Styela clava: one gene and its partner. The protein of the gene in region 2 purifies or fractionates together with the protein of the main gene of each other region. This does not show direct contact. Links are inferred from orthologs where the notes say so. Each region holds a gene or a part of one and is shown on either strand. Other genes may lie near its edges.

Region 1 (7,666 bases), on a different chromosome or scaffold from region 2:
CGATAAAATGTTTAGGGTAATCGTTCTGGCTTTCGTAATTTTGAAAGTAAACCGTTTCGTCTGAATAATTCGATCACAAATAATTTTATGCGCAAAAAATTATATTGTGTTGGACAAGAAATTGAAGAGTTGGTGCTTGAATAACAAACCTTAAAAACTTTAATCAGGTATTTTAAATGTTTTCTCGCGTTATTGCTTGCTTTTGGAGTTATTCCTCGGAGGGGATGTTTTCTGGTGGGAACTTTGTACAAAGGGTTCCCATCGTTTTATATAAATTGTTATTAATAGTTTCCAATATAAAAAAGTGGTGTTGACAAGCGACGTCCTATTTTCTATACTAGGATGCATTACAAGTTACATTGCATTATATTGTCACATCTATAATATGGTAAATAATGGAGGATACGTACGCTAATCACCTAAGTAGATTGGATAGTACGTTAAATTTAGATACATTTTGAGAAACTCGAGGCTATAATAAAATGCCACGGCACCAGAACATGCAATGAAATCCAAATCCAAAAAACGATGAAAATCAGAGAGATTATGCTTTCGGATCATTACGAATCACATCAGCACGACAACACTGAAAGTCGAATTGAGTGACACCAGGCTAATCATATCGGCCGCGGGAAATTCTCGTTTCTTTGACAAACGTGAACCACCCTGCGACGACGAGGAGTCTGGGACGTCTCTCGCACATAATTATCTTCACAGGATGCGCACCTGCTGACCCACACGGGGAAATCAGCGGTGCGATGCCAAATGTGATTCTAACGGTTAAACGGTTTACGATTCCGGCGCTACAAATTACTATTTAATCAGCTTGTTGCGTAGTTTTTAGGAAAGACAGCAGTATTATCTTACGACGTGCTAAGGTCTGTTTGATTTGGAGCCTCGTTACTCGCACACTACCCAGTCCGGTTATCACTTTATCACAGCTTGAAGCAAATTATCCGTGAAGAACGTTAGGTTGTTTCCGTTTTCAGTGTATATAAGACAAGTAATTATAATATTGATTCAAATCCAAAGACTGCGCTTCCCAGTTCTACGAATGACATTGGAATTTATTCTATCCGGAATTGACTCCGCGCAATACCATGAGTCACGATGGGCTAAAAAGATTTATTTTGCGAGTGGCTGTTTTCTGAAAGTTTTGAGATTTTAATTTTCATATCTCAATATAAGACGATATTACCGGTAGTGTATAGCTCCTCAGTAGTACGGGAAACCAAGAAAAATAGATAAGAATTCTCATTGATTCGTGCAAGTGCAGTGGTGACAGAGTTGGAGTTTTGGAATCGAGATAGGCTGCCGATACGTTCGTAACCGGTACCGAAAGAACATAGTTTGGTCAGTTTTTCTCAGTTCGGAAGGCTGCTGTAGTGACTACCCCTATAATTCAATAACCCTTACTCTGCCTTTACACTACCGGCTGGCCGGCACCATTTGTAAATTTTGCTACAGGCAGATAGACCACTGGCCTATAGAAACTAACAGTACTAGCGTTTTTCATGTTTTTATGTATAAGCCTTTTACTTAGGCCTACTAAAACTATTTACTGCAGTACTGTAAAAATTGCTGAATTTGATAGCAGAAGGGCTTTTTTCACATTTCCACACTCTTGTATTACAGGTATTTAACTACTAAAATATCAAAATAAAATAATGGATCAAGATTTACAAATCAAGGATAAGCAACTGAGGAAAGAAATTTCTGATTTTAAACTTGGAATCGCTAAAGATGCTGAAATTTTAGTCAATGAATTTTTTCCAAAGAAATGTATTGAACTAGATAAATTTTTAAAAGAAGATGTTTTACAGACTGAAAACGTCAGAAACATTGCACAAAAACTTGAAATTCCCATTCCAAATGCAGTTATTGTGCAAGACTTTAATAACGTTGATGGTCATGTTACGAGCCCCAAAAAACGTAAACTTGATGTAGGACCGGGAGGTGACATTGATGGTACCAAAGTATTTTCATTTGCTTGTGGTCCAGTGCCCTGCAATAAAAATCTAATAGCAATAATCGATCGAATAAAACCCGATATTCGTCTACTGATGGAAAAAGTTAATACTGTTCGAATGTGGGTGACTCATCTTATTCCAAAAATTGAAGACGGAAATAATTTTGGAGTCTCAATTCAAGAAGATACTCTTGCAGAGTTGAGACAAGTTGAAAGCGAAGCGGCTTCATTTCTAGATCAAATATCACGATATTTTGTCACAAGAGGTAAAATTATCACCAAAGTAGCAAAATATCCTCATGTTGAGGACTATCGTCGCTTTGTTGAGGAGATCGATGAGAAAGAATTTCTTAGCTTGAGACTTATAGTGTGTGAGCTGAGAAATCATTATTCCATTCTTCATGACTTGATTCTAAAGAATATCGAAAAAATCAAGAAACCGAGAAGTTCAAACATTGATGGAATGTATTAAAGTCTAAAACTTTGGCGAGAGAGTATGATATGATCCAAAAAACTATAGAAAGCCAGGATATTATTGGACTCAAGATGGCTGGTGCAAGAATTAGTTCATCCTCTGTATTTGGCGAGGCATTTTATTGAAAACATTTTTATTACGAATAAAAGTTCACCATGAAATTTTTTTAGCTTGGTAAAAAATTCATTCATCTGTTTTTATGCTTATGTGTTTTGAGCCTGTCTAATATTGTCACAATTGCTGTTTCGCATTAATTTACTATTTTATTATTTCATTCAGTCTGCCATTCTTTGTGTTTTATCTGGCTTTTATTGTGAGGGTATTTGAATAAATTATTTGACAAACTATGGAATCAGAATGATAATACGCAGGTGATGGATATACAATGATAAAAAATATTGTCCAAATTCCAGTTGCTAAATTTAGGTGTATTGTTGAATTTAGGAGGTTTTGATTGTATCTTATTTTATTATCTGGTTCAATTATTGTTAGCTCTGAGTGTTTAAATCTCGTTTTTAAGTTGTCAATTGTCTAGGATGCCCATTAAAATATATTCTAATCCGTATTTATTCATAAAGCACAACTGTTGGTAATAAATGCCTTCCCTCCCCACATGCAAAGACTTTGAAAGTGTTAAGATACTATTTTCCAATAGTTGATTGTTGTAACATTAATAAGTGAAGTATCACTTAGAAGAAGATTCCTCATACTATTTAAGACTCTGACCCCTATTAGTCAATCATTTACTGATTACCAGTTATACAAAATAAAATTTGATTTCCAAATTGTCCAAATACATAAAACCTGTATTTGTTGCAAGCCAAACCCAGTTGGATTACGACGTTATGACCATATCAAAATAAGACTCCCTGTACTATTGAGGACTCCAACCATATTAGTCAATCATTTACTAATTACTAGGTATACAATTTGATTGTTTATTATTAAATAAAATTCCAAATTTCCCAAATACATAAATTCTGTATTTGTTTTAAGCCAAACCCAGATAGCTTATGTCGCTAAGACCATATTGTCAATATTAATATTACTATACCCATTCCGATTTATAACCTTGATGGTTTTCCAATAAAGGAATCTCGTTGTTAAACTGCCTGAATCAAGGTACTACATATTCCTGATTTCAGTATATTTATACCTGTTACATCTTGTCCTCTTCGATTTTGTAAGACATGTCTGAAAAATTGGGATCTTTTGTAGAAAGCCTCTGACAAAAAAACATCCCAGCGCTCAAAATAATAAAAAATTGGTGATTATCCAATTACAATTAAAGAATGATAGAATTCATCTGTGAATTCAGAGATGTCAGGGTTAGCGAACCTACAATTACCTAAAACAGGGCAGGTGAGGGTGTTGTTTTCAAGGTGGCGAGAGCTTTCTATAAAAGGTTCAAAATTAAATTGGTAATATGGTGGGGATGGAAAAAAAGACCTATCTTTTCAAGCACCATTTTCACCAGGTCTGCACGGTCCGATCAAGTATGCAATTTTGGATTCAGGATTTATGATAAAATTTAACTCCCGCTCATGACTCCGTAGTAGAATCAAATACAAAAACATTAGTAATTGTCGTATTTACTGTTTTGTATGTATATAATTATAATGGGTTAGCATTGTATTCTGTGGTGTCTGAAACAGTCATTTTTTTCTTGTTATTTGTTCTTAGACGATTGTTTTGTAGTAGCTCCCAACCAGTGAAAAAAACATTGCTGAACAGCATACTATTTATCCAAACTGATTTACCACTGTATGTGGTTTGTACTTTATTCCATATTTGTTTAAATAAATACTGTAGAATTTCACAGCGATTATGACGCAATAATTTTACATTAATGCTGGTTGCAATTTTAGAATTGGTGATAATTTTGACGGCTTGGCGCATGTGATTTTATTATTGCGATTGTCAAGTTATGTAATGGAAGTGAACATCCTCATTAATTGAGTTCATCGTAAGTCATTATGGCACTGTTTTAAGTGAATATTCCTGTAAAAAACCTGCCATCTAATCGCGGACATGGTGGCCATTTCCGTCTGTATTTTCTTCTTTCAATGTAATGAATCAGTGATATTAATTCTTTGTACAGCCTGGTAGTTAATTAGATTTCCTGAAAGGGGTCAAGGGTCATAATGGGACCACCACCAGTTGTGACAGGAGTCTCTCCAAAATTTGGAACGCCGCTAACGAAGATCACAATTCGTGGAGAAAATCTTGGAACTAGTAAAGCTGATCTGATTGGTGTGTTAATATGTAATAAAGATTGCACACTTACCTCCGAATGGCAGTCAAATTCAAAAATAGTTTGTCGTACTGGTAGCGGTTTCGGTAAAGGAGACATCATTGTGTTCACAAAGTCTGGAGGAAAAGGATCATCCACTGTTGGGTTTACAGGTCTGCCACCTAAAAAAGTCGGCCCGCTGGAAAAATCTGCAGTATGGGTGGATGAGAGCGAATATGTGGACCAACGTCTCGATAGAAATCAGAAGCAAACTGCTTTGTCATTGAGAAGTGACCCATTGGGGCTTAATTCTGATGATTCTGTATCCAGGGCACCAAGTAATATGAATCTGCCAGAAATGTACCCAAATGGAAGCCCCGATCCAACTGATGAAAATTTTGTGCCGGCTTGGTTCCTTATTGAGCGACATTTTACAACATCGTTTAAAGAGTTGAAAGAAGGCCATACCTACATGAAACGACGAGCGAATAAAAATACAAACAATGCTCCACTGAATCATGTCAAGGACAGTTTACCGGTATTTTTTGAAGTGCAAGAGATGTTATCATCGATTCACCAGAGGCAAGTGCAAGTGTTTTTTTTCTTTTTTTTTGTATTCTATTTAGTTATAGAGGGCTAGTAATAAATTCCCCATTTCTTCATTCGGAATTATTTTCTTCAGGGTTTGATGTATTTATATTATAATATGTACCTTCGTAATATCAAGTTCATGCATCTGAAACAAATTACAAGCTATCTATACCGATATCCAACATGGACTGGTAACAGGATGAGAGGCCATGGTTTCGTTACGTCGTATCGACTTTTCTCTTCCCAAGCAAGAATATAAAAATCCTATTCTTCTTATTCAGGATGATTAAAGATGAGGCTGGAAGAAACAATGAAAACATCACTGCTAATCTTGAGAGTCTGTTAGCAGAGGCAAGTGAAAAAGCTGGTTTGTTATTCACCACTGTACTAAACAGTAAGGACCGAGCTGACTCGATTCGTAACACTCTTGGAGTTCTCCAACGATTCAAGTTCTTGTTCTATCTTCCATTGAATATTCAACGTAATATTGAGAAGGGAGATTACAGCGTCGTTATCAACGATTATGAAAAAGCAAAATCACTTTTTGCTGAAACCGACGTCAGCGTATTCAAACGGATCTACGCTGAAGTGGAAGACAGGATTGCTAAATTTCGTGTGAAACTCCGCAACGAATTGGTCGAATTGCCTCTTCCGTTATATCGCCAGAAAAGTTTGATCCGCTATCTTCTCGAGCTTCATGAGCAAGGTGACCCAGCGTGGGATTGTCTCAATAATCAACACGAGTGGGTCCAGGGACAACTTCTCAAATGCAAAGATAAGTATTTGCTAAGAGCAAATAAGGAACACAATGCAAGCAGTGGAGATAGTTCTAAAACAACTGATGTTCCCAGAGAATTTTTGGAAGAGTTGGCTCAACTTGCTGTAAGTCAGATTCCAGAACACTGGCACCTATGGGAGCAATATTCCACTGGTAATTTTGAAATAATTTTTGCATCGAAGTTATTTTTATCACTGGTATCCTGTAAGACAGGCCTGCACAACATACGGCCCGCAGGCCGCATGCGGCCCGCTAGATACTTCTGTGTGGCCCGCGGGTGATTTGGAAACACGCCACTTCTCGGGTCTAACAATCAAAGCCGGCATTGTTATGCAAGCGCGACGCTATATCATATTCAAAATCGTGAGATTTATGTTTTGCACTAGTTTCAATAAATATCGAACTTTGTGTGAAATTGGTGTGCCCTTCTCGACCCCTAAAATTCGTCGCTTGACCCCTCGCCCCCCCAGTTTGAAAAACCCTAATTTGAATATCTCCGTATTCAGACTGAATCACGCTTAAAACAATATCGGTATACAATCTCACACCCATCAGTGCATATTAGCAACCTATTAATAATCCCATTATTTTTTTACTAGCAGTTTATGAAGCTGAAGTTTCTTTTTTGTGGCAAAGTTTGCGGCCCGCCGGGCCTTCAAATTTATGCTTGCGGCCCTCGTAATTTGAGTTGTGCAGGCCTGCTGTAAGCCTTTTTTGTCTTATTGAAACTAGTATTGAAGCCAAGAATCGATTTTCCACATCCTATTGGGAATATCAGTTGACTAAATAAATATTAACTACCGTAATCATGCCTTATCACTTAAACCTAAAAATGTTGTAATACGGACTTAATTAACTTCACAGTTTTTTAACCGTTTATCAATCTCATTTCCTATACAGGTATTATACTGAGTGAAACTGGTGAAAAATCCACCGATGTTGACAGACTTAAACAAATGGCATCAAAACATAGTAAACAAATGAAAGGATTGTTGAGAGATACAGTGAGTGTAACAATATTTTTATAGCTGTTAGAGGATTACTACTTGTACATAAGATAGATGCCACTCAAATGTCTATAGCACATTTTAATGGTTTTTCATTTATTCAAGGGTTTTAAGACAAAAGGACAAATGTTGGAATTTTGATGAAAAAATTTATAGGTAATCTCTGATCACTGGTATCCATAGTTGAAGCATTATTTACCAAAGTATTTCAACAAAAAGTTACATGATTTCCATATATCAATATTTTTCTGCAAAATAATTCAATTCAAAATTTCAAAAAATAGTTAAGAATTGTAACAAATTTGTACATAGATATGTACCTCTGCACTGCTTTTTGAAAAATTTATAAAAATATCATGTAGAATAATATACCAATACTTTTTATTTCAGATAATTCTTTTTGTTAATCTACTACGAGCTGCGTTCCTTCCTGCAACCTTGAATTTTGACGATGCTGATGAAGAAGACATGAAAGAAAGAACTTCTTATGGAATCTGGCCTAATGCTCATATTCCTGCAAACACTCTGGCAGAATGTGTGAGAACTGCTAGGTAAGGTCCAATGCAAAATATAAAAAGAATTCTAACCTTGGAATAACTGCAAAATCTGATCC
Region 2 (7,559 bases):
CGAACCCGTTTTGGATTTATCCGTTACACGACTGCAGGAAATAAGTTACAAAAGTTATGTATTTGATTCATTTAACTTTTAATAGCATAGAACCACAATGGCTATTTACTCTTTTTCTCCTTTCTCTCCCTCCACGGAGCCGACACGAACCTTCTCCGTAATCCTTATCCAGGACAGCAAGATCATTAGGATAGGAGTACCGGTAGAACCATATTTACGGTAGAACTCAGTGACATATATATTTTCTGAAATGAGAGAAGCTGTTATTAGTGAGTTCGATATAAAAATAATTCGTTTTCAAAATATTTAATCCCACTGCGGGAAAACACCACAAAAGTTAATGCACGACCGGCAAACCCGATCGCGACCCCATCCTCCTCCTGTCAACTTCCGTCACGTGAGCTCATATTTTCCTGAAATCGTCGTTATTTATGACGTCACATTAATCGCGCAAGCGTTTCAATCTGAGACATCGGGGCGTTTGTGCCGGCCTGGCCAAATCTTTGTTTCGTTTTGATTTAGTCGTATTATCGTATTTTATGCGAGGGTGTTGAATAATGTAAGTGGCGTACCACCTTGTGTGTAACGTATCCAGGGATAGGATGTAGTTCTATCTGATTTTCATTATACTATTACGGTATACGATACAGAGTTATTTCAGCACCTTATCGGTAGACTACGACTGACGGTGGAGACGTCAGTCGGTCATTGCTGTATTGCTTGCGATTTGCTAGTTCTCTTACAGCTGTACAGTCTGGCTAGATCAAAATATTACTGAATTACCGCATTGGTACTGTTGGTATGTCATACCAGCCTCCATGGCGAGTCAGTCTCCACCCGAAAATAGCATGCCATTCCTGCATTCCAATGAAAAATAAAACTTGCCTCACAATGCTATTGTAACAATTTTGATGCTATATAGTACCGGTACCGGGACCGTACGTAGATAGTCTGTAAATTCCCTCTCATCTAGGCATCAGTTTAAGGGTTGGGGCATCTGAGAGATACCATTATACAGTTCAGCAGTTATACACCCACTCAATGTCTGGGTCTGGTATAGTTTACTGGTTTAGTACCACATCCACTTCTAGTTGGCCTGGCTCAACAATTTTTGCATATGTCAATTCTAACCCCCACCTGACTACGTCACCGAAAAATTACGTCATTCCGACGTCACAGTGGCGTAATACGGCTCACCGAAGTATGCGGATGGTCATCCAAAACGCGCAGACGATAACCCGAAATCGAGCAAGCTATTTTTCTCGTCACAACGATCACGATAGGAGAGAGATCGCCGGCTTTAGCAAGTTCTGATCGGCGGCGCAGATGCCATTTTGGGCGATCGTAGTTATACTTTGGCAATCCCTATGACGTGGTAGTGACGTAATTTTTGGATGGCATAGTCCTGTAGTCAGGTGAGGGTTAGGAATAACATATGCAAAAATTGTTATGCTACGCCCACTGGAAGTACTTGTGGTACTAAACTTTACTAGACCCCAATGTCTGAATGTCCACCAATGAAATAGTGTGCTTGCGGTTAAACGTTTGATTTTAGATCTGGCATTATAGGTTTCTGATAATCTATCTGTTAGGTACAGTGATGCTGTATTTCGAGGCGCATGAAAGAATACAGGACTCATCTTGCAGATAAATATTGTAGTTCAGTAGTTGGATTCAAAAAACTCATATCGTTATAATGACTTTACTGGACACCGCGGCACCATGAAATCATTACTGCATTAAGCTTGCTAAGGACTGCTATCGGGTCTTGTGTAGTATCGTATCTCAAATACCTCTAGTGGATGTAGCATAACGATTTTGTCAATCCTAACCACCACCTGACGATGTCATCCAAAAACGAGAGAAATAGCTTGCTTAAATTTAGGTGATCGCCTGCCCATTATGGATGACAGTTCTTATAGTTTGAAGGGCCCTATTACATCACTACTGCACTAGGACGTCCTGACGTGATTTTTCAGTGACGCAGTCAGGTGGAGGTTAGGATTGGGATTGACATATGCAAAAGTTGTTATGCTACGCCCATTGGAAGTACTTGAGTTATGAAACTACACCAGACCCCTGCTATCATACCGAACATGCCAGGGCGTAGCCAGAAATTTTCGAAGGGGGGGGTTCTGAATTTTTTTTTGCCAAGTTAGACCGAAACTGCTAGCGGGTTCGATCGAACTCTGGAATACGCCTGTTTCTAGTAGTCTTGTGGGTCTAAAAAGCATTTCAAGCTACGGAAAATTGCTATCTATGATACAGAAAATTGATTTTATTTTTTTTACATTTTAAAAGGGGGGGGGGGGGGGTTTCGACCCGCAAAACCACCCCCCTGGCTACGCCATTGCGAACATTGTTTCAAATACATGCAAAACAGCCTGAAATAGGTTCCAGTTTTGGGGTCTCGTGAAGTACACGCAGCAAGTAATTCTAATTGGCCCGGCTGGACAATTTTTGTATATCTCATGCCTAATCCCCACCTGACTACGTAATCCGAAAATTACATCACTGCGAAGTCGCTGGGGTTAGGAATATTATATGCGAAAATCGTTATCCTACGCCCAGTCTGCCAGTAGAAGTACTTGAGGACGTGTACCCCAGTTTTGAACATTTGTTTCATCCACAATACAGAAATACTGTAATAAGTTCATTCATACTTGTTTATGTGGCTCCATCAAACATTTTAGACTCAATGATTTTTTTCTTTTGTATTATTGTTTTCTAAGCGAAAGAATATCATTGTGCCTTTGTAACATGGGCTGTATTGGGGTTAGCTGTGATTTGTTAAGTCCTGTCCCACTTGCTCTTGGCGTCCGTTTGGAACTTATTACTTGCGTACTGGGCTATTCCAAGTGACTCTACGGAACAATGTACGGACTTGTGAGATGTACTATATTTTCACATTGTCAGCTACATGTTTTGTATCATTGTCCAATCAGTTGCTTTATGAGGGTTTGAACAAAACTGCACGAAAGGTAAAAACAAGATTCACTTAGTGGATATAAAATATAGCGTGACATTACGGAACGGCAAGTTCACCATGCATCAACGTTTCATTGTGTTGTGTTGTAAATTGTCGCGTTAGTACAGCAAGAGCTATTTTCTGGTGCAATAACTGAAGGACAGACCCCTCTGTGTCACTCAAGTTACTCAATGTAACACTGTAGATCCATGACGATAATGTGCACATTGTACGGGACACATTTTTCCTCTTTGGAACAGCAGCCTCTATCATCTCTTAAAATTCTGGTAATAAATCGTTAAATCGGTAAAGACATGTCCTACAGCACTGCAAACACTTAGGCTCAAACTCAAGTCTAGTGCATCTATTCGAAATGAAATAACTGTACCAGACAATCAAACAATTCATGTTATGAGTCACCAGAAAACAAAATTTCTACATTTCAGGCCACTTTGTTCAAATCATCAAAAACCTGGATGAAATTTAAACTTTTTTGGTGAAATGAATGCAGTCCAATAACGTTCAAGTGTCTTTTGATATAAAAAATACAAAACAATTACTTTCACTACACTATTAAAAAAATTTATGAAGTTCAACAGTTCCTTGGAATGGCCCTACTTTGGTTGCTGACATTTTACGAATATCAGCAGTGTCATATTAATATCTTACTGAAGTGCTTGCTTTGTTATATCCAGTAGTCTTCACTATGCGATTTACATACCTATGTATTTTCCTAGGGTTAACAATTATTGCAGAGTATGCTCCATTTCAGTGAAAAACAGGTGTGAAATACCGGTAGTTCAAATGCTGACAAAGCCCACACGGTTCATGTTCATTATGCTCAGAAGGCTTGGATCAAGTAAAAATAACCCAACAATAATTGTTAATTAATATATAAGGGTAGTTTGAAAACAAACAGTGCAGCATGGACCAAGCATTTTATAAGCTTTCTGTTTGAGCTCAAAACCTATTTGGTACACCTTGATCTACTTCACTGCAAACCAGTGTGTTGTGGAACATACCATGGTGTGTTTCATCAAATAGCCCATGTTTTTGTTTCTGTTATTTGCATCCTTTATGAGTATTCCTTCATATGCCAAATTTATAATGGTAAACTAATTATTGTGTGAGCAGTTCATATTTATTTTAGTTTTAATTTTGCAAAATATGGATTTGTCACTTTATATTTTGCCTTGCTTTCTTTATAATATTTTCAATGTGGCCCAAAATCAATCAATGGTACCATGTTACGTTCTTTTAATGACGAGAGTTTAGTTTCCATGGAGCATGAGGGTGGCCATACAGTGTCATATCAAACAAGGGTATCTCCATAGTATGTGTACCAGGTGAGGGTTAGGCCATAATTTTATTCCGATTTTCCTTATTTTAGTCCTATTACGATTTTGGGCACTGTTTGTGTTAGCCAAGTGAATATACCCCCTGCCCATAGGCTCCCATCCCTTTACACTTGATGTCAAGTAGCTGAACAAAATTAGTTACCTTCATATTGGTACACATACCGTACTTCTGGAGCGCCCAAACAAGATCTAAATATGATTTGTTCTTTTTTTGACTATTTTAGTGTGATTGACATATTTCCCTAATTAAGCTCTACAAGCCACAGAACAGTACAGTTAATTGCTTTTTAGCAATTGGGTATCACACTCCAATCTACCTGGATTTCTTATTGATCTCTGGACCAGTGTACCAGTAAGTTTTAGTTTTGTTTTATCAAACATATCATTATTAATAAAAAGTTATACTTCTACCAAATTATATTCACTTTTTGACTTTAAAAAATTTTCCCATAGATTTGCCAGAATTTGTAATTCTGAATTAAAAACTTTTATGTCAATGTATTCCTTTGAATTTTAAATATATTGGTTGCATATCGACATTGATGAACAATGTCTGAATTTTTGATGCTGAGTCGTTGACGTAATGATTTTTATACTTATCTTCACAGGGCAAATTTGAAAATCAAAATCACAAACTCAAATCATGGGTACTAAAGATGATGAATACGATTATTTATTTAAAGGTTTGTATCAAGGCATAAATACACTAAATGAAATTTTGGTATGTCCGACATATACTATGTGACTAGCTTGATCCTTTGTTAAATTAGGCATTTATCTCCAGACCAAATATAGGCATATTTCTCAATTCAAATTACATTCTATATTGTGAATACAAACTCTCGATATATATGGTCTTTCAACCGCTGTGGTGTTTGTCTATTCAGGCCGATTCATAATTTTGTTAATCATTAATTATTTTGATACTTATTTTAAAGCATTTTACAACTGAAATCTTATTAGAGCTCATGAACAAGCCTTTACACATCCACAAATTCAAAAGTGGCGGTTTTTAATAAAATGAAAGTTCAAAATTATACATCACGTTACACTAGAATTTTTTTCACTAGGTTATGTAATATCACCATTATTACTTTAGCTAGACTAGAAAATGCTTTGCCGTTGGACTCAAATGTCATATATATTAATCAATTTTTTGGCCATCATTTTGTTGCGGTTGATTATATATAGAATTTATTTGTAGTACTTTATTTTGTTGTTAAAATGACTGCATTTTTCAAATGGAGAAATATATATTTTTTTTAAATTTATTAAAATATACATGTTTTGTGAAGACATTTAAATTGGTATCAAATTATAATTAGTAGCCTATACAAGATAGTGTAAGATATTTATCTTGATATAGCTCTTGATAACAAGAGAATATAAGAATTTTCTTTTAAATATCAATGCATACAACTATGTTGGGTATGTAATGCATCAGAGCTAATAAATGATTTGCAGTATATAGACAAATTTGACATACATTGTGTGTTTGCATTAGCTTTCTATTGAACTATTGGTATTGCATCACTGATGTTGGTGCCGGCTTGCACCCAGACAAGACCTTTCTCATATTTACAAAAAGAGCATCAACTGTTTATTATGTGAAATACCATTGTATTGTACCTGAAATCAGGCATATCAAACTATCTTTCGACATGAACATCTACAATGAGTTTCCATTTACTCAAACTAGCTTTTAACATGAATTTTTACAATGAGATTCCATTTACTCAAATTTTGGGGCTTTTAGAACATGGATGTCTTTTTTATATTTAAGTCATTCATCTTTGGAATGAGAGATCTTTAGAGGTATCATTATTCTGCTGCTATTTTCTTTTCCAATACTATACCATGAAATTATGTTATATAATAGATATGAAGAAAGATACCAGATGGGTGTCAGTGTCAGAATAGTAATTTTAATATTCTGAATTTGAAGAATAAATTTGAAATCACCTGTTAGTTGGAAAATCCAAGATAAAAACTTCTCTCATTAACCTTAAAACCACAAACATCATTAAAATACTTTGAATTGAAAGGCTACTTGGTAATGTAAAATAAACCCTGTTCGTCGTTATTGTTTCGGCTTTGAATTGGCATGATAATTAATTTAACATTGATTGGTAGTCTCAAATTAAAAACACAGGTATGTAATCGGCACTCATGCACATGTTTTAAATAAATCAATAGACACCTGAACATTTAATTCTATGGATTATTATACCCTCAGTCATGAGCTCTTACAATGGATAAGTTTTCTGTAGTATCGTTAGTTTATGAGTAAAGATTAAAACTCATTTATTAATTTGATAAGCCAAACTGATAGTTTAATAGGGACGGTATCGTCGATATAAATAACAATTCTAGCCATGCACTTGTGAACACAACTTTAATGATACCAAGTTGATTTTAAAAAGTTGTTTTTTAACTGAGGTCCACTGCAGTTCAGATTTTTTTTTATGTTACTCATTTTCAACTCGTATCTTTTGGGATAATCAGAACATCCCAGTGTAACAAAGATTTTTTTTTCATTTTACAGTTGTCCTAATTGGAGATTCTGGTGTCGGAAAAAGTAACCTTCTGTCAAGATTTACGAGGAATGAATTTAATCTCGAGAGCAAAAGTACAATCGGTGTAGAATTTGCAACGAGAAGTATACAAGTTGACGGGAAGACAATCAAAGCTCAAATATGGGATACTGCAGGACAAGAAAGATACAGGGCCATCACATCGGCGTAAGATTATCATTATCATATAGTATCTTAATCTGCAATATTGGCTGCATTACCTGACCGTACATTTTGTTGGGATGACATAATTGCTATAGATATAGACACTATATTGTTGTAGTATGATTATTTTTTATTCCATACCATTCATTTTTATTTGAAAAAACCATATATTTCAAATTGTGGCACACGTTACATTGAAATATGAGCCCAATAAAGGAATATATGAGAATATCTTTGGAGATTGGAGAAAATATTGCTGAACGCTTCTAAAATAAAAAAGCCTACATTTGTCCTGCTTGAAAGATGGAAAAAATTGTTTATTGCTTAACAGGTACTACAGGGGTGCAGTTGGTGCTTTGTTAGTTTATGATATAGCAAAACATTTGACATATGAAAATGTTGACCGATGGTTGAAGGAACTCCGTGATCATGCAGATAACAATATAGTCATCATGTTAGTCGGAAACAAGAGTGATTTACGACATTTGAGAGCTG

The links. Proteins that work in one complex are often made in the same cells at the same time.
Region 1: the proteins of ras-related protein Rab-11B-like (region 2) and exocyst complex component 2-like purify together in Drosophila melanogaster (affinity purification with western blotting, with the first as the bait; 3 studies listed by BioGRID). This does not show direct contact. The link is inferred for Styela clava from reciprocal best matches to the Drosophila melanogaster genes Rab11 and Sec5.

Annotation. Positions count from the first base shown.
Region 1 is NC_135250.1:5,801,010-5,808,675, reverse strand, and holds the start of exocyst complex component 2-like, read left to right. Parts: upstream 1-4,574; 5' UTR 4,575-4,588; coding exon 4,589-5,259; intron 5,260-5,549; coding exon 5,550-6,199; intron 6,200-6,946; coding exon 6,947-7,050; intron 7,051-7,443; coding exon 7,444-7,604; intron 7,605-7,666. Other genes in the region: proteasome activator complex subunit 3-like, read left to right, coding at 1,668-2,441. UniProt on the Drosophila melanogaster protein: Component of the exocyst complex involved in the docking of exocytic vesicles with fusion sites on the plasma membrane.
Region 2 is NC_135262.1:17,158,915-17,166,473, reverse strand, and holds the start of ras-related protein Rab-11B-like, read left to right. Parts: upstream 1-4,519; 5' UTR 4,520-4,678; intron 4,679-4,934; 5' UTR 4,935-4,969; coding exon 4,970-5,009; intron 5,010-6,871; coding exon 6,872-7,067; intron 7,068-7,395; coding exon 7,396-7,559.